2 linked regions of the Mytilus edulis genome follow. The protein of the gene in region 2 binds, or shares a complex with, the protein of the main gene of each other region. Links are inferred from orthologs where the notes say so. Each region holds a gene or a part of one and is shown on either strand. Other genes may lie near its edges.

Region 1 (11,034 bases), on a different chromosome or scaffold from region 2:
TCTGCTTATCCTTCCTGAACACCTGCAATCCCTCCGTTTTTGGACATGGACAAATAATGCAATAAAAATATGTGTGCATAGTTGGCTGATTGCTGGATAAAACATAATAAATTAAAGGTGTAATATCTTATTTTAACTTGAATTACGTTTTGTCAACATCAGCAAATATAGCTTGAAACGTCTGCCCGCTGTCCTCAACATTGCGCATGATCACATTCTTAAATCCTACTTTTTCTAATGTTTTCATATATTCTACGTGATCTGATGTCTGGCCGTATTTTAATATATTTTTCTGAGTGATCGCTTTGATAGAGTCAACTCGAATAGTTGTCACCATCCTCGCATGCGGTCGCATAACTCGGTAAAGTTCACGACACCCAGCCTGTAGATCAGGCCAAAAATAGTAACAATTACAATGGAACACTCTGTGAAACGTGTCATTTTCGAAAGGAAGATCGAGAACATTTTCTTTTTGAATGCATACTTTCCCATCGTGTATTTGCTTTGATAGCCGTCTTTTGGCTAGTGAGATCATTTTATCAGAAAAGTCTATACCATATATTTTACCATTGCCACCTGAAGTAAAAAAAATCTAATATTAAACCTTAAAAATATGAACTACTGTTATTGTACAATTGTGATAAGAACAAGAGCACATTACATTGTATGTAAACAAAAAAATAAAGATAGTTTACGAAATAATAAAACAGCTACAAACAAATAAATTAAATAAAAGAGGTATCCATACCCCAAGTCCCGTGAAATTTACATCTTTTTTTAACAGACTTTCAACACACTCTTTCTCAAAAATATACATACATGTATATATCTCATTTATTAAGACAGGCACATGTCTCTGGAACTTGAAAACGCGTGTTTTATGAGGGTCTGGAGGTTGGTTCTTCATATCCGTATGCTTAAATTTTTAATCTTCGTTTTTCTCTATTCTTTATATGAAGGGCGAAATGGTGTACCTTCATGACGAATAACGCAAGAAATCTTACGAAATGGGGTACCTTCATGACGAATAACGCAAAAAATCTTGCCAAATGACGTGAACGGTAGTTTTTGGTGAATGACGATAAAATAAATCACTTTTTCTTTTTCACACAAAAAACGGTAACCATAATTATTTGGAACCTCTGATGAATCACGATAAGGATATTTTGACGAATCACAGTAACATTTTCGTCAATATCAAGCTAGCAGAAGCCGAAAATGAGCGTTTGACGACTGACGGTAAAATATTATCCAAATCCTCCCGAGGCACCTGTCGGAACTTCCAATTGATTTGGGATTTTGTTTGTATATATATATTTGTCTTTTATTTACTTTTCACTTTATTAATAAAATTAATGGTACCAATTTTCTTGCACCAGATGCGCATTTCGACAGTACACTGTGGTAAAAAAAAACACGTCTCATTTCCATATGTTTGCCATATTTCACGTCTGAATTATTTTGTACTGCATTTTCGATTAATTTCTAAGAAAGAAAATTAACATTGACATCTTCAAACAATATATATAGGCATATTTCAACCTGTATAGATTATATTTAATTTTAATATGACGTGCTTCGTTCGCTTTGTGGACAAACCGATGTTCTAAATCCAATAAAATTTGTTTGCACATGCGTATATTGACTACTGCAGAATAATGAATTTTTTCAAATTGGCATGCATTTAATATATTTCATTGACTTAAAACACTTCCAAAATTCATTTATTATGACAGTAATGTGTTGCATTCCGAAATTGACATATTTGACCTAGATACGACAACCATTCATTTTGACTGTTCAAACTCCTCCCTCTGAAAAATCACAGTGCAAGTCGTTTGCTTCTTTACAAACAAAAAAGTGAGGTTCATGGAAGAGCCTACACAAACGATCTACACTTATACACATCAGACATAGAAATTACCTTAATTGTCCTAATCAGAATCGAAATAATTGATGCAAACTATACTTTATTGTAGTTTTAACATAGTTAGGCATTATATTCGTGTTAGTTTAGCCCTCACTATCGCTCGGGCAAAAATAATCACGAATATAATGCCTACCCATGTTAAAACTACGATAAAGTATACCTCGCATCAATCATTTTTTAGATTAGATTGGACGTTATCCCAATCTAATTAAAAACCGATCTCTCACCGCTCCTGTTTCTGATATGTCGCGTAGGAGATCTAACGAAACCCGCTTTGAGGTCACATGGGAGTGACCTCGTAGGTGTGTCTTTTTCGACCAATGAAATCGAGTCTTCCACGATCTTGGAAGTTTAACGTAAGGCAAAGGGATGTAACTCATTTTATTTACGACGAAATCGTCAGTCAAAATAATTCATAAACTTTTTTGATTGGCTTATTAATAGGTCGTCAACTCATTTGCATATCTTTATAAATTCATAACTTTTAGTTCACTCGCATGTGACCTCAAAGCCGGTTTCGTTAGATCTCCCACGCGACATATCAGAAACAGGAGCGATGAGAGATCGGTTTTTAATTAGATTGACGTTATCCCAATTACAATTATACAATATACAAACAAAGCAAGCTAGCTAACAAAAGTCTTACTTTACCAGCATTTGGAAATTATCTATCAAGTGGTCTTTAAGGAATAAATGAGATGAGGGACCCCAATCTAGACCCTCGTGAGAATCGCCTTACCCGTCACATATTTACAAGCTCACCTGTCACATATTTACAAGCTTACCCGTCACATATTTACAAGCTTACCCGTCACATGTTTACACGCAGCTTCAAGTCCAACTCCTGGTCCAAACCCGACCTCTAAAACATTGTGGTGTGGTTCAATCTGACACAGTTTTACAGCACTTTCTTCTAAAATCACATTTCGTCTCAAAAAGATATTCTGAATTTAAAATTTAAAAACAAAATTGTTGATGTGATTGGTGTCAAGATGTTAATAAGTTTCAAAATTTTCTTTTCATAACCTGATGGAAGATTTAAGATGTGAACAATACATCTGATAAAAATTAAGCAACCTATATTATTTTTCTCGTTTGAATTGGTTTACATTGTCATTTCTGGGCCTTTTATGGCTGACTATGCAGTATGGGGTTTGCTCATTGTTGAAGGCCGTACGGTGACCTATAGTTGTTAATGTATGTGTCATCTATGGGTTGGTGGTAAATAACCATATTCTAGGAACAATAAATATGATTTCCGTATTATCTCTGCTTTATTAAAATTGTAAACGTATGCATGGTGGTTCTGTGAAAGTTTCAGCCTTTAATTAAAAGGAATTGTGTTTATCTATAGCGTGCAATCATAAGAAAATAAGAAATACCACACCTCTTGATGTGCTTAGTACATAATGCAGTAATTTTGGACATGTCCAAAACGCACGGCTTCCGTTACGTTTTAAATTCAGTTTGGATATTATGTCTGAATTCGAGGTTTTACCATACATGCAAAAATGTAAAAAAATCATTTAAATACAGTAAAATGGGTATAATTATTCATAAAACTTCGAAGCGTGATAGCATCCTTGTTAATACAGGAAGCAGTTACAAAGCAATAGACCACTTTCGAGTTCATCCGTCACCGGAAAAAACTCGTCAATTATACGCGCCTTTATCACCGTCATTTTTGCGTTTAGGGGCGTCGTCACTTCCTTCCAATGTTGAGCGAGTGGTTGGAAAACTATAATTCTATATTGTACGAATTATTCGGCAAATTGAATTCTCAAAATTGACAATCAACACTGCTGTCATTAGGGAATTGTCAGTAAGTACCTACAGAGCAACCATTATTTCTAGGTTATCCTGCACAAAGACGATCACTAAGACGCTTGATGAACGTAAATAGTGCAGGGATACAGGCGAGCCCCTCTATCTGGTAAGTGACGTCATAAAGGCGTGCATAATTGACGAGTTTTTGCCGGTGACGGATGAACTCGAAAGTGGTCTATTCGATTCATTTCATATTGAAGTACTGTCAATTTGTATTGCAGCATTCTGATGTACTATAGTATATATTAAGACAAATATTTACCTTCGTAACATACCAACCAAAGAAGCCACTTCCAGGTTTCCGCAGATTCTGTGCTAAATATTCTCTAAAGATATTAGTCATCCTCCTGAATATATGAAAGTATATAGATAGATATAAGAAGATGTGGTATGAATGCCAATGAGACAACTCTCCATCCAAGTCAAGATTTGTGAAAGTAAACCATTATAGGTCAAAGTACGACCTTCAACACGGAGCCTTTGCTCACACAGAAGAGCTCAGCAAGCTATTTAGGGTCCCAAATATTACCAGTGTAAATCCATTCAAACGGGAAAATTAATGGTCTAATTTATATTAAAAACGAGAAACGTGAAACAGTTATATATGAACCACATCCAGGGGCGGATCCAGCCATTTTAAAAAGTGGGGGTTCCCAACCCAGGACAAAGGGGGGGGGGGGGGGGGGGGGGGGTCCAACTATATGTTCCCATTCAAATGCATTGATCGACCAAAGAAAAGGGGGGTTCCAACCCCCGGACCCCCCCCCCCCTGGATCCGCCAATGACATCAACAAACTAAAACTACTGCACATCAGATTCTTGAACATAGTTATCAGAATAAAAATAAAGAAATTTGTTGAGGTTTTCAAAGGGATTAAAATTTGCCAATGTGCACAAGTACAATGTGCTTATCAAGGGTTTGAGGTATGTAGGGGGGGTTCTGAGACAAGTGCCTGTGTTTGAGGAAAGGGAGGCGCAATTTTCCGAAAAAGTTATTACCAAGGGTAAGCCGTTTACACCCCCTGAATCCTCCACTGATGTCATAATACCATTATCGTCAGCAAATAAAATGTACAAAAACAGTGCCTACTAGTTATCATGAGTAATGAAATAACAGTACTGTAACTGAAGAGTTCTCGCCGTCAATTAGCAATTTGATGGTAGCAAATGCAATTGGACTGCATTTTGATTTTCTGTAGAGGAAGTAGGGATTTTAAAAATGATTGGATTGGCCTGGTCACACTAGAAAAACATAATTTTGATGATGTAACTAGATGCTCTTAAGAGCCTGTGTAGCTCGCCTGTCACGTGCATCTTCAACAATGGATATTCTACAAAACTGTACACGAACAAAGTTAATGATTGAACTCTCTTTTTTAAGGGGAAAAAGGGGGATATCGTGTTGGTGATCATTATTTTTCTGTTTACACTATCTCCCTTTCTTCTGTAGTCCCCCTCCCCAAACACAAAACAAATGGTAAAAAAAAATGTCCTTTATAGGCAACAACTTTTATGACTGACACTTCTTTCTTAATGCGGATCTTGTATTGCTTGTCAGCTTAGTATTTTAATGTTTCGAAGCATCTATTATAATGCGAAAGTAATAGAATGAAATTCAAAACAGCGTGGCTGTGGCCATTGATTGACACATTAAATTCATCCATTGACCGGGACAATTTACGTGAACGTTTGTATGTAACGACCACTGTTCACGACGTACCTACGATAGACTTTTAAACTGTGGGGTCACCAAAGGTTTCTTAACGCCTTTAATTATAAAATAATTCGAAAAATTAATCAGGAATAACCTTTATGTTTTGATTTATATAATTGATATAAATCAAAACATCGTGTTATTTCTGATTAATTTTTCGAATTACTTAATTAAGGCGTTGAGAACCTTTGGTGACCCCATAGTTTAAGTGTCTTTAAAAAGTACATAGTCAGTGGCGGATCCAGAAATTTTCATATGTGGGGGCCCACTGACTGACCTAAGAGGGGGCCCGCTCCAGTCACGCTTCAGTGATTCCCTATATAAGCAACCAAATTTTTCCCAAAAAGGGGGGGCCCGGGCCCCCCCTAAATCCGCCTCTGATAGTGAGCAGTGGTCGTTACATACAAACGTTCACCTAAATTGTCCCAGTCAATGGATGAATTTAATGTGTCAATCAATGGCCACAGCCACACTGTTTTGAATTTCATTCTATATAACGCCAAAAACTGTTATTGAAAGTCATCATTGTCAAGAGCAATAACTACAATAAGGAATCGACTGCATGACAATTTCATCCATTTGGCATGTTCGACACATTTGAAGTATCTTTTTCGTGTTGATTATTTCTGCTATTAAAAGCGTCTAGTATTTATCTACTATAGTTTTTATGATATAAACTGGCAATCGCACATAAACATTGATAAAATTAATTTCGGGGGAGCAAGATTTTGATGGTCAAGGGCATTACTACCCTTATGAAAGTTCATTATTCAGAATATGAATAAAATTTCTATCAAACCATCGTAACCGACATATATTTTTTTCTTTTATTGGAGGAAAAGGAACGACAAGGATTATGTTTTTTTTCCTGAAAAATATTCTGATCCCCCAATTGGATGAAAAAAAATTCTGGTCAAGCAGATAACAAAAAAAATATTCTGAATGCAGATTTCCCCTATACCTAAAATATACAGTCATTGTGTTGAATTTTGGAGAGAAAAAAATTACCCAGAAAATAACATATACCTCCTCCTTTTTAACTCTTTTAGAAGTTAAATGGTTGTTCCCTCACAAGACAACATAACTTTATTGATTCACATTCTGTGCATTTTCAAAATATTTTGACTTTGCACCCGACTATTTTTATATAATAAAACAAATCAAGGATTTGTACAAATCCCGAAGTTGAACAAATCAATAATCATGCTGTATAAAAACCAAACTAATTTTACTCGAGGGTCAAACAAAATACAAAAAAAACCCAATAATTCTATTTTTTTTAATTTTTTTTATTGTTATGGGTGTTATTTTATTTTATTGTAACAGTAATATGTGTTCAATTGTAACAAACCGTGATGCATGAGGAAAACATGGAAAGAGTATTTCTAAACAATGCGGATGAATTCGACTGTTAACCTTTTATTTAATATTGCAGTCATATCTAGTATTTCCTTATTGTAAAAATCATGAGAATAATAAAATAAAATATTTTTCATGTATATTAATTCAATTTTTAAAGAGAAAGACAAATATTACATGACCATAGAACTATTTTTTAATGTATAATTTGGCCTACAGGTAAATAGGTCAAGTAACAGGTGCTTGTTTAAGAGCGCATGCGTGACAGATTAAATTGAATCGCCATCTTGGAATTTGAATGATTCAGTTCTGCTGTAATGTGAAGTTAATTTCAAGCATTCAAAGATTGTGTTTGTAAACTGAGTATTTCGAAAGCCACCTTTGGTTCAAGGCGGCAGTTATTTTCGGTAGGTACTAAGTAAAGGTATACAACAGGCCAATATTCCCTTTGTGACCTATATTTTCTCGAACCAAGTTATTCTCCTTTGTTGACGGTTGGGTGTTCAAATACAACGGCTTACTCTCTGCAATACAATAAATAATACCGGTAGTTGCATAGTTGCACAAACTTGGGGTCGATGGAAAATACCCGTAGTAACCACAATATAAGGTTTGCTACTTGCATGAAAATAATTTCAAAAAGGGGGAAGTGACAAGTGGACGAAAATTTATGATACATGCGAAGTATGACGCATGAAATTACCGGCGTCAGAAATTTTATAGCTGGTGCTTTATGGTCAAACCTTTGGTCCTGTTCAACTAAAAATCGTGACTAGAACAAGGTTTTTAGAGCATGGCAGGTACAAGTCTAAATAATGATGAATGAAGTCTTGATAGGCTATTTTATGTTTTTGCTTTTGCCCTGGCTTTGACTATCTTGTTAAATAAAGTTTAAATTTTCTTTTGAATTTCAACTGAAAGAATGAGCGTTGTGAAGTTGCAGGAAGGCGTCAAAGCAAAAAATAAAATTGTTTTTAATAAATTTATTTGGACTAGGCTGGTTACCAGGTACTAACTATAGTCACCGTCAGCTGAAATTCGTAGCGGTTATCGGTAAAAATAATCTAAACTATCAATCGCGTTCACTCGAGATATAGTTTTTCACATTCCATTCATAAATCGCAAAAAGAAAAACCACTCTCGATCGATGTTCAATGATCATTTTATTTCTAAAAATATGACAGTTTGAAACGAATTTACCTTGCAAGCAACATTTTTCACTTTCAATTAAAATAAATCACTTCTCGTTATCTTTAATCAAAGTTTATTTTAATTTTTTCAACTACAAATACTCTCATTCATAATTTTCATCGTAAATATCTTTAGCAATGTGTATTCAATTCCCAGTGATTTTCCAACCCTCATTTTGGGGCCGAATTTCGGCCCCATTCCCAAAGAGAAATATGCTCTTTTTTTCCCAATTTTCAGCTCTAAAATTCCCAATCGTATATGGACATCGTCGCGAGATTTTGTTATTGTCGTATCTCCGTATCATGTACTATTTTGTTGACAAATCTCTGAGCGTTCGGGGTATTTCGGGAGTTATCATTATCGTTCACTTAAGACTATGATTGGTTTGCAATCTTTTTTGGATTGCATTGCATTGCAATCTACGATATTCTGGTCACGTTTGCGCTTGAAACATCCGAATGAATAATTCAATGACAAAGCAAAAAAATGAGACATAATGTAAACAAAATGAACGTAGATCATGTCTCATAATTCCAAATATTACACAAAGAAGCTAAAGGCGGCGGACGGTAGTAAATGCTGGAAGCTGAAAGCTTTTGGATTCAAAAAGTCGTTTCTACTTCCTTCTGATGAAACAAGTGAAAGAAGGAAAAGACCGACTCTCAGATACAGAACTGGAACAACTAGTTGACATGTTTAAAAATAAACATGAAGGAAAACTTGGAATTTTAAATAAAACTAAAAAATAAATGCTTCAGATTTCAAATGTGTCTTTTTAGAATTTCTATAGATTCTCATCATTATAAATAGAATCAGAAGGGATAGGTTGAATTTTACCTTTCAAGAGTAAAGTTACAAAGCTTGAGTGCATGCAAATGTGTCCTCAGACACATTCAACTTTTATTTTTAATCCTTTTCCTTAAAAAGATAGCTTATTTTGTACGCAATTCATGCAGTTAATCCTTCTCAGAATGCAGGATTTTGCACCTAATTTTCAAAATTTTCCAAACCCCCCTAGCGAGGCGCACACGGCTTACGCCGTGTGCCCGCCCTCGTAAAGACCATTCATATTTTTCCCAAACCATAATTTTTTTCCCAATTGCATGGGCCCCAGGACCCTTCCCCTAAACACCAGGAAAATCACTGATTCCATCACGTGTATTGAACAGGTTCATTGGTCGTGTTTAAATAGATTCTTCTTTAGACCAATGAAAAAATTCGTTATATAAATAGTCAAGTAATCACACACACGATGCCTAACTTAAATAGAATGTATTTGCGATCTATTTCTTCAATTTCTGCACTGAAGTTTTTAATTTTTTTAATTTTTTCTAAAAATATCTATCTTCTTGATGATCATTTACGCTATTACATGATAACATAGTCCGATAAGGCTGAGATAAGCGTGGCTCAGGTAAAACTATATTATCAGATATTGCGTAACACTGAGTGACCTCTCAGCTGTGATCAGCATGTCAGCAACTTGACAATTTTAACAAATTTATAATGAAAATGTGAAAATTAACACGCTGCGGGATCAAGTAGTGAGGGACAGCAGCCAATTCAGACGCTGCGGGATTAACGAAAATATTATGAAGGCGCTGCGGTACCCCAGCATCATATCGGCCTGAGGAGAACACTGAGTTAATATGAATGTTTTGATATATCGTAACAGTTTCAGACAGGTATTGATTTCAAAGAATATAAAGCTGACTATTTTGTCGATAAAACTAGATATATGTAGCTGACATGATTTCAATTAAAGTAAGGTCACCAATTTCCTGGTATCAAATAATTTGATAAACCCAACAATGAAATGCCATATGACCTTTTACATTGAAGGGTTAAATTTGCATTAAGTCATGTTCAGACCCTTTAACAGAAAATAAAGGAATATGGAGAGAACGTGCACGGGGCCTGATCGCACTCAAAGTCGATGAAAAAAATACAAATTATCAATCCAAGTGGTCAAAGTTTTTATTTCTTTTCTTCATTTTGATAGTTGCTGGAGGGTCTTCAACAATAAAAGAATCATTAATACTGTTAAAACAAGGTCAAGATGGTCCCTAGTGTCAACTTAAGCAGTACAAGTACTGAAGGTATAATACTGCATTTATTTTTTTTTTATATTTTAATCTAGCCATAAAAAAAAATCACCCAAGTCTTAGCACAAGACAAGATAGACAGACAGATCCTGTATTTATGATTATGAGAATTACAATTTTTGCTTTATCCTACATATCAGTCTTTTAATGTTGTCCCTAAAATCTACAAGTCTTAAATTACAATGAATCAATGTTTTTGTTTTGAGACCAGAATATCATCGAAAAAATAGCTAAAAATTAATTATGTTTCAATTTAAGAAAGAGCCTAGGAAACGCTCAGAATGCACGATTTTGCGTTATTTCCTCAGAGCTTTCCCTTGAGCAACCCCCAGACCCCTCGCCAAAATTTTTTTGCCTCACTGCGCTCTGCGAATATATTTTACCTCACTATTAAAAGAGGCTAGTTAGGCCCTGTCCTCAAAGTTCTTTTGTTGGACCATACTCTTTCATGTATGAATTTAATTCCTTATTTGGAAGGAGAATGAACTAGTTCTTTTGATTATAATACTATACTTAAGCGGTAGTTTTATTACCAGAATATAATGTGAAACAAATATTAAAGCAAATTGGCATGAAAATGAGATTTTCTCTAATAAAATATTTTTCAACCTAAACCCGTATGATGGCTTATCTGCCATTTCAGTGTACACAAATGTACATTGTTGGTCATGTCTGGCAAATATAATCATTTCCAGACCCTTTGGCTGTATACAGTTACTGTACACTGTTACTATACAGACACATGTCATGTTTGTGTTTTTCTCTAATGAACTTGACTTGCTTGATTTATAGACACTTGCACTTTTAATTTTGGTACACTTTTTGGAGCAGAGCTGCATGTACAACATGTAGTTGAATTAACCAGCACATGACAAAGTCAATTAATGTGCCATATTTGCACTTTGAGC
Region 2 (10,473 bases):
CAAAATTTACATACTCTACACCCCGTACAACTACAAAACTTACATTATCTACTCCCCGTACAACTACAAAACTTACATTCTCTACTCCCCGTACAACTACAAAACTTACATGCTCTGCTCCCTGTACAACAAAACGTACATCCTCTACTCCCCGTACAACTACAAAATTTACATTCTCTACTCCCCGTACAACTACAAAACTTACATTCTCTACTCCCCGTACAACTACAAAACTTACATTCTCTACTCCCTGTACAACAACCAAACTTACATTATCTACTCCCCGTACAACTACAAAACTTACATTCTCTATTCCCCGTACAACAACAAAACTTACATTCTCTACTCCCTGTACAACAACCAAACGTACATTATCTACTCCCCGTACAACTACAAAACTTACATTATCTACTCCCCGTACAACTACAAAACTTACATACTCTACACCCCGTACAACAACAAAACTTACGTGCTCTACTCCCTGTAAAACAACAAAACTTACATTTTCTACTCCCCGTACAACAACAAAACTTACATTCTCTACTCCCCGTACAACAATAAAACTTACATTCTCTACTCCCTGTACAACAACAAAACTTACATTCTCTACTCCCTGTACAACAACAAAACTTACATTCTCTACTCCCCGTACAACAACAAAACTTACATTCCCTTCTCCCCGTACAACAACAAAACTTACATTCTCTACTCCCCGTACGTTAACAAAACTTACATTATCTACTCCCCGTACAACAACACAACTTACGTCATCTTCTCCCTGTACAACAACCAAACTTACCTTCTCTACTCCCCGTATAGCAACAAAAATTACATCATCTACTCCCTGTACAACAACAAAACTTGCATACTCTACTCCCCATACAACAACAAAACTTAAATTCTCTACTTCCTGTACAACAAAAAAACTTAAATTCTCTACTCCCTATACAACAACCAAACTTGCCTTCTCTACTCCGAGTATAACAACAAAACTTACATAATCTACACCCCGTACAACAACAAAACTTACATTATCTACTTCCCGTACAACAACAAAACTTACATTATCTACTTCCCGTATAACAACCAAACTTACATCATCTACTCCCCGTACAACAACAAAACTTAAATTCTCTACTCCTTGTACAACAACACAACTTACGTCATCTTCTCTCTGTACAACAACCAAACTTACCTTCTCTACTCCCCGTAAAACAACAAAACTTGCATACCTTACTCCCCATACAACAACAAAACTTGCATACTCTACTCCTCATACAACAACAAAACTTAAATTCTCTACTTCCTGTACAACAAAAAAACTTACATTCTCTACTCCCCATACAACTACAAAACTTACATTATCTACTCCTCTTACAACAACAAAACTTACATACTCTACTCACCGTACAACTACAAAACTTACATTTTCTACTCACCGTACAACTACAAAACTTACATTCTCTACTCCCCGTACATCTACAAAACATACATTCTCTACTCCCCGTACAACTACCAAACTTACAAACTTTACTCCCCGTACAACGCCAAAACTTACATCATTTACTCTCTGTAAAACAACAGAACTTACATTCTCTACTCCCCGTACAACAACAAAACGTAAATTATCTACTCCCTGTACAATAACCAAACTTACATTCTCTACTTCCTGTACATAAACCAAACTTATTTACTCCACACTCCGTACAACAACGAAACATACATTCTTTACTCCCTGTACAACAACCAAACTTACATACTTCACTCCCCGTACAACAACCAAACATACATTCTCTACTCCCCTTACAACAACAAAACGTACATCATCTACTTCCTGTACAACAACAAAACTTACATACTCTACTCCCCGTACAACAACCAAACTTACATACTCAACTCCCTGTACAATAACCAAACTAACATTATCTACTCCCTGTACAACAACAAAACGTACATCATTCATTTCCTGTACAACAAAACTTACATACTCCACTCCCCGTACAACAACCAAACTTACATACTCAACTCCCCGTACAACAACCAAACTTACATTCTCTACTCCCTGTACAACAACCAAACTTGCATACTCGACTCTCCGTACAACAACCAAACTCCCTGTACAACAACAAAACTTACATACTCTACTCCTCGTACAACAACCAAACTTACATTCTTTACTCTCTGTACAACAACCAAACTTACAAACTCTACTCTCCGTATGACAACACAGCTTACGTTCTATACTCCCCGTATAACAACGCAACTTACCTTCTATACTCCACGTCAACAACCAAACTTACATTCTCCACTCCCCGTACGACAACAAAACTGACATACTCTACTATTCGTACAACAACAAAACTTAAATTATCTACTCAACGTACAACAACAAAACTTAAATTTTCTACTCCCTGTACAACAACCAAACTTACATACTCTACACCCCGTACAACAACAAAACTTACATACTCTACTCCCCGTATAACAACACAGCTTACCTTCTCTACTCCGAGTATAACAACCAAACTTACATAATCTACTCCCTGTACAACAACAAAACTTACATTATCTACTCCCCGTACAACAACCAAACTTACATTCTCTACTCCCTGTACAACAACAAAACTTACATTATCTCCTCCCCGTACAACAACAAAACTTAAATTCTCTACTCCCTGTACAACAACACAACTTACGTCATCTTCTCCCTGTACAACAACCAAACTTACCTTCTCTACTCCCCGTATAATAACAAAAATTACATCATCTACTCCCTGTACAACAACAAAACTTGCATACTCTACTCCCCATACAACAACAAAACTTAAATTCTCTACTTCCTGTACAACAAAAAAACTTACATTCTCTACTCCCCGTAAAACAACAAAACTTACCTTCTCTACTCCCCGTAAAACAACAAAACTTACCTTCTCTACTCCCCGTACAACAAAACGTACATACTTTAATCCCCGTACAACTACAAAACTTACATACTCTACTCCCCGTACAACAACCAAACTTACATTCTCTACTCTCCGTACAACAACAAAACTTACAAACTCTACTCCCCGTATAACAAAACAACTTACCTTCTATACTCCCTGTACAACAACAAAACTTACAAACCCTACTCCCCGTATAACAACACAACTTACCTTCTATACTCCCCGTACAACTACAAAACTTACATACTCTACTCCCCGTACAACTACTAAACATACATACTCTACTCCCCTTACACGACAAAACTTATATACTATACTCCCCGCACAACAACAAAACTTATATACTCTTCTCGTCGTACAACAACAAAATTTACATACTCAACTGCCCGTTCAGTTCTCTACCCCATTTGCAACAACAAAACTTACAGTCTATGACTCCCCGACCAGCAAATCAAATTTTGTATAATTTGTACGTAGGACTACAGACAGAAGGTCTTTTGTTATAATATACAAATAGTATAATAAACACTAACCTCTTAACAGACAAAAACATCCTTAAAGTTTCTATGATTTTTTTACTTCCCCCTTACCAATGCGTTAATCTTTTCACTCATACATGATAATCGTATACAATACCTTCTTTGTCAATTATTCCCACTTTCTCTTCAACTCGTTGCTCCTATTTTCTGAAACTGCGATAAGATGAAGTATACTTATACTATGACTTTCATAGGCTTGTTATACCATAACTTATCATCCACATCTATTCGAATTCGAATTTAAAGTGTGCTGTCACATTTTTCGTTGTAAAACAATGTGTGTATGTGGTCAGTAAAATTGTTTTTATTTTTATCCGTCTCGGTTTTATTGACAGATACTTTGCCACATTATCCCGGTCATATATTTTTTTAATTACTATTAGCTATCACTGTCGTTAAAATGTATCTGTTGATCGAATGATGTACTGCTGAACATCCAAAAAAGCCGGAGCATACTAAACATAACTTCCAATTTTAACCTTCAAATGCAAATAGTTCTTATATATTATGGATTAAAAAAAAGTGGCAATATGTACAATTATAGGTAACTTATGCAAAGTTGGAAGGATGACATGCATGCGGATACTGTATACTACAATCTTGGGGCAAAGTTTGGATAGAAGTAGAAAACTTGTATCAGACCCCTCCAGTGGCTTATCCAGCAATTTTTGAAAGGTGGTTCCAACCCTGGAGAAAGCAGTTTTTAAATATGTATCCCTATGCAAATGCATAGATTTCATTGATGTTATTTAAAACAAATCGGATGTCAAGTCGTAAATAAAAAAAAAACATTAACTTTGAGCTGAAATATAAGGAACTTACAGGCTTAATCCAAGCAATAGACAATGCTTTAAACTCACTATCAGAATTGTTTTCATGGATTATGACTTGCATATATAAATTACATAAAATCTACAACTGCGTCCTCGTTTCTCAAAAGTGACCTACCGAAATGGACTTATCACCGGGTTTGTACTAACATCATCAACACGACCGGTGCCACGTGTGTAGCAGGGTCTGCATACTCTTCCAGAGCGAGTAAGATCACACATGTCCCTTTCCCCGCCAAATACCAGATATGATATCTGATGCTCCGGAATGGTACTTCTGTTTCTACTTCTGCCAACGAACTATTTATACTGGCATGTGTTTGGTGCACATACCATCCCCTCTCTTAATTTTAATCTAGTTCAACCCAGGTCAAATAGCGTTCAAATATCGTATGGTTCTTCGGAAGAATGAGGTTTGCGATAATAACAGTATGTCGATGGTACCTGGAAGAATTTGTCGTGCATATTTTTGACAGTCGTTTTTAGTTGAAAGAGGCGACCTCCCTTTGGCATTGCGACTTTGTTGTTTCTATGTTGTTGAGCAGGGTTATTCTCGCTTCTTTCCTTCTTTGATCTATGGATGTCCTTTTAAGGTGTTTGAACATCGCACTACTAACGTTTCAGTGGTTATGATGTTTGTTGGATACATAGCGAACTCCTCTTCTTTTGGGTCATCTCGAGTCTGTCAGTCTCTGTCTTAAATTATAGATCCCATCCTGGAATGGCGTATTCTACAATTGGTCGTAATAGTGTTTTGTAGGCATTCTCCTTTACTAAAATTGATCATTTGTTTAAATTTATTTTTAGGAAACCAATTGTTCAATTTGTCTTGTTATTTAATATTTATATTTTTCATTTATACATTATCATTCCCTCTGTGTTCTGATGTAAATTTGCAGTCTTATGTATATTGCACTTCTGACTGATTCAAGAATATGATCATGTAAGCTCTATGAAGTTGTAAAACCTGTGAATCTTTGTCTGATGATATTGTGAGGTAAGCTATTGTATCATCTACAAATAGTCGGACAGTAGATGTAATCACTTAATGTAAAAGAGGAATAGTGAAGGCCCAAGTACTGAGGCTTGTGGTACTCCAGACTCTAGTAAGACTACATCAATATGTGATGTGCTTTCTCCATCCACAACTTCTGCTTCGACTTACGAGACAGAATGCTTGCAATCCACTTATTGACTTTTCCTTCGATACAGTGTCCCATTTTATGTATAAGGTCTTCAACACGGAGCCTTGGCGCACACCGAACTGCAAGCTATAAAGGGCCCAAAAAATGACTAGACTTAGTGTAAAATCATTAAAACAGGAAAACCATGCCAACAGTCTAATTGAAAATCTGAAACGAGAAACGAGAAACACTTATGAACCAAATCAACAAACGGCGACTACTGAACATCAGGTTTCTGACTTAGGACAGGTGCAAACAAATGCAGCGGGTTTAAAACGTTTTAATAGGTTTCAACTGAAACAACGTATGTGTAACATTACAACATAGAAAGACGCACTATGAAATATAAATTGAAAAGTATTAACTCAATCAATTAAATAATAGGCAGGGGGCGGATCCAGCCATTTTAAAAAGGGGAGTTCCTAATACTGGATAAGGGGGGGGGGAGGGAACCACATGTCCCATTCACATATGCATTGATCGTCCAAAAAAGGGGGTTACAACCCCCCCCCCCCCTTTTCCCTGGATCCGCCACTGGTAATTGAATCTAGGCGTTTTATCGGACCATCATCAGTGATCTTGTTTTTTAAAATTAAAACAGTGCTATTAAATTGTCTCCAATGATCTGTGCCAAGATTGGTAATGATCATCCAACTCGGTTTTTGGTTTACATTTAACCCCTGTCAAGGATTTGTATAGTGAGACTATACAATTAAATCCTTGCCCCTGTGTATTATTATTTTGTTAGACGACAGAGGGAAGTTTTCGTAATGTCGCGCACCGAATTCCTATAAACACGTGATCACATTCTTAGCTGTTCTATAATAATTACCCACTTCGTAAAATATGTATGAAATATAAATATATTATTTGTTATTCTATATTATTTATTGTCTGTAGCTTAATTTGTAGTCATCAATAATTTATTGTTTAATTATACTATGTCGTGTTAAATCAAATATCAAACTATCAATAAAACGTTTTCAGCATTTATTATTTGCCTGGGAGGAATTTATAAACGGAAGTGGAAAAGCGGATGTTGTGACTAATGAGTCCGGAAGCGAATTATTCACTAGAAATATTACAAACATTCTGAAACAGGTTGGTAGGAATTCACGTCGAACATAAGTCTTTGCGTTTCGCATCAATAGAAAAGAATATCTTTACCAAATAGTTCAAGCAATTGTATACTATTTTATCCTGATAGCTGCACTGTGTCTGTGTAGCAAGGCATTTCATTTTCAACCATTTGTCTGGGCTGCTAGAAAAAAAACAGGCTATTAATTTAATACTTATTAATAGTATAAAAGTATTAATGCATATTTATAAAAGTATTAATACATATTTATAAAATATAAAATGAGCATTCGTAATTTCGCTCTGTGTCCATATAAGAGGGGGGATAGGAGGGGTCCTGATCCTAAAAATCCCGGGCTTAAAAACATGAAATCCCGAAATTCCGGGGTTAAAACACGAAATCAGGAGGTCCCGAAATTTCGAAAAAAGAATTCCTGGATCCCGAAAGGGTCAATCCCAAAATCCCAAGCTTAAAAACACCCGATCCCGGAGTCCTATTAAAGGCCCAACCCCCCTCATATACAAAATGTAGGGTCAAAATTGTAGTTGAAACAAATATATTTTAGGTACTGCCCTTATTACGCTTGGCTAGGGCAGTAGACTCCTACTCCTAGCTGCCAAACTGTTGCTCTTATCTGTATCGTTTCCTCGAAAGTACCAATACTAGCTTGAACTCGTAGGGAGAGAGGGCTCCCATAATTTGACAGCGTTGGAGAGCTGTTTTAAAGTCCTCAACTGACTTGGCGCACACAATGTGTATATCTTTTTCGAGATGGTTCCAATGAATCGCAGTCTTGATGAAGAAATTGCTCAGTTTTACAGTTTGTTGTTTCAACTGCCTTTGAGTTGTTTTTTACTGAGTTGGTAACTATATTTGGGCTTTAAAATCCTTTTAGTTTTGCCTTTAACTAAAAATTTGTCAGGTTTGATACCTGGGACCAAACCCTCAACCAATTTATTTAGAAATACCAGTATTTGGCTTGTTCTTCTGGACTGTCAGTTTTCAAGTTCTTTCTTTGGATTCTTTCTAGTTGGTTGATGTTGTTCTACAGTGTATGTATAAGGGTTCGATTCAATTGCATCATATTCCATCATAGATCTAGCCAATGAAAGCCAGGTATACTGTTTTCTTAAAAAAAAAAAATTTGGTATGATAATGATTGGCATTGCCAATGAGACAATTCTCCACAATAGACCAAAATGACACAGAAATTAACAACTATAGGTCACCGTACAGCCTTCAACAATGAGGCCTAAATTAAAATATTGTTTGTTTGCCCTTTTCCGACCCTATGTTTTGAAACAGGGTAGGTAGGTAGGTACAATATTTAATTTTTTTCCCCAAAAAAATAACTTGGCTCGGTATATTATTTGTCATGTGTAGGCAGGTAGGTAAAATATTTTATTTTATAGATACAAAATCTGCATAATGTCATTTTTTTGTCCGTTTTGTTTTTGCAAATAAGTTTTCCGCTGGGACTATTAGTTTTGAAAAAAAAATATATAAGAGATAACTTTGTACTGGTAAGATAATGTCCGGGCAGACATATATGACTAGTAGAAAAAGTCCCTAGAGTGTTACAAATTTCGTGTGTGCCTTTTTTTCCAATAAAAATGCTATAAGACTTAAAACTCGATTGTCACGTATTTTGCATCACATTTATAAATGATCTGTATGGAAAACTTGGCGATTTTACTGCCAGATATTCTCCACTTTACAGGGTTTTGTCACTTTTGGTTCATGTCAGATATAAATAATTTAGCAGCATCGTTAACATAATCATTCTGATATGCGGATCACAAAAGGACATCCCTACATAGAATACAACGTCCGTTTACAAATTAGTTTGTACACACGTTAATACTTTTGTATCAAACGAACTTTTTTGTAAATGAACCCTGCTCTTTAAGTTTAAAGGTACAGAGTAACGTACTTCATATCATGATTTCAGAAAGCGTTCAACATCGATTTCAAACAAATGCTTTGAAACTTCAAATGCAAGTGTTCATGTCAAACGCTCAGGTGATACCAAACGGACTGGACCTTATACGTAAAGATAAAACCCGAGGATTCCGGTAAAAAAGTTTTGAGCGGGAAATACAAATATAAGATTTTTGGTAGGAACGAAAAAATAAAATAAAATAAAATCTTGCTGGTAAATACAAATAAAAGATTTTCAGGCGAAACGAATTGATAGGGTCGGTCGGTAAAGGGCAAACAAACAATATTTTGATTTAAGCCTGAGCAAAACCAATTACGCATAATCAGCTATAAAAGGCCCAAAATGACAATGTTAAACAGCGCATACCCCTGTCATTGGCCCATGTTTCTAGGCTAACCAGATCTAGTTATAAAAGAGTGTGGTCCCATTGTGTTTAAATGTTTCTGTATAGCAGACAATCATCAGCAAAAATATATATTTTTCTCATCCCTTGGCGTCGTCGTAATTAACTTTTACAAAAATCTTCTCCTCTGAAACAACTGGGCCAAATTTAACCAAACTTAGCCACAATCATCATTGGAGTATCTAATTTAAAAATGTGTCCAATAACCCTGCCAACCAACCAAGATGGCCGCCATGGCTAAAAATAAAAAATTTGGGTAAAATGTAGATTTTAGCTTATATCTCTGAATTTGATAATAGATAGAGATAAACTGTAAACAGCAATAATGTTCAGCAAAGTGAGATCTACAAATAAGTCAACATGACCAAAATGGTCAATTGGTCCATTAGGAGTTATTGCCCTTCATAGTAAATTTTTAACAATTTTTCCTAATTTTTTTTTATCTTTTACAAAAATCTTAGCCTCTGAAACAACGAAGACATATTTGATCATATTTAACCAAACTTGTCCACAATAATCATTAGGGAATGTTGTTTACAAAAATGTGTCTGATGACCCTGTCTGCGAACCAAGCTGGTCGACATAGCTAAAAATAGTACATACGGTAAAATGCAGTTTTTGGTTCATATCTCTTAAACCAAAGCATTTAGAGCAAATCTAACTGGATTATATTGTTCATTAGGTCAAGATCTATCTGCCCTGAAATTTTCATACCATTCATACAACCCTTTGTTGGGTTGCTGCTCCTGAATTGGTAGTTTTAAGAAGATTTTGCAGCTTTTGGTTATTATCTTAAATATTATTAAGATAGAAATAAACTGTAAACAGCAATAATTTACAGCAAAGTAAGACCTAAAAATAAGTCAACATGACTAAAATGGTCAATTTTTAACAATTTTCATAAATTTTGTAAATTTTTACAAAATATTTTCCACTGTAATTACTGGGCCAAGTTCATTATAGATAGATATAATTGTAAGCAACAAGAATGTTCAATAAAATAAGATCTACAAACACATCATCATCACCAAAACATGATTTTGTCATGAATCCATCTGTGTCCTTTGTTCTGAAACTGAAAGCCTCTTTTTCGATAAAAGGGTTGCGTTATTTTTTATTTGTAACATTTATTGACCAACGTATTATTTTGTATACTACATTTTGTTGCTCTTGTTGCACACAATGTGCCTGAGTGTATTAATAAACTTGTCTTGTCTTGTCTTGTTTAATATGCACATAGACCAAGGTGAGCGACACAGGCTCTTTAGAGCCTTTAGTTATATAATAAAGGACTGCAGATAGTAAAAAATATTCTAAGAACCTAAGAGCTACAAAATTATGGGAAATATTTGAAAAATACTGGCTAGTTTCTAGGAGCATTATTGGTTTCATTGTTACATTAATTTTTATTCAGAATTTCTTTCAATGGCTGTTCATAGCAATTAATTAAGAACTCTAATCTTATTAATAGGTAAATTAATGCTACATGCATTTGATCTTACTGAATGGTAAATAATCTTAGACTGTCTGTTGAGTTCAAAAATCAAAATAG

What was found. The genes of interacting proteins can lie anywhere in the genome.
Region 1: the proteins of catenin alpha-2-like (region 2) and catenin beta-like are in contact, whole or in part, in a crystal structure (PDB 5XA5), measured with the Caenorhabditis elegans proteins. The link is inferred for Mytilus edulis from reciprocal best matches to the Caenorhabditis elegans genes hmp-1 and hmp-2. Residues at the interface, in NP_505985.1 of Caenorhabditis elegans: Asn20, Val21, Gln24, Gln27, Leu28, Glu31, Val32, Ile35, Glu37, Thr38, Phe39, Pro40, Leu41, Lys42, Thr47, Leu50, Val51, Thr53, Leu54, Ala57, Val58, Asn60, Phe61, Thr64, Gly65, Ala68, Cys72, Leu85, Met99, Gly103; in NP_001252426.1 of Caenorhabditis elegans: Ser47, Ile48, Val49, Glu50, Met51, Met52, Gln53, Pro55, Thr56, Gln57, Gln58, Leu59, Lys60, Ser62, Val63, Met64, Asp65, Leu66, Leu67, Thr68, Tyr69, Glu70, Gly71, Ser72.

What each region holds. Positions count from the first base shown.
Region 1 is NC_092357.1:59,222,563-59,233,596, reverse strand, and holds the start of catenin beta-like, read left to right. Parts: upstream 1-7,028; 5' UTR 7,029-7,237; intron 7,238-11,034. Other genes in the region: uncharacterized methyltransferase YdaC-like, read right to left, coding at 143-576, 2,739-2,874, 4,020-4,100. UniProt on the Caenorhabditis elegans protein: Required for cell migration during body enclosure and cell shape changes during body elongation. Plays a role in recruitment of the cadherin protein hmr-1 to adherens junctions.
Region 2 is NC_092347.1:75,449,728-75,460,200, forward strand, and holds the start of catenin alpha-2-like, read left to right. Parts: upstream 1-6,489; 5' UTR 6,490-6,599; intron 6,600-10,473. UniProt on the Caenorhabditis elegans protein: Required for cell migration during body enclosure and cell shape changes during body elongation. Required for proper localization of other junctional components, such as pac-1.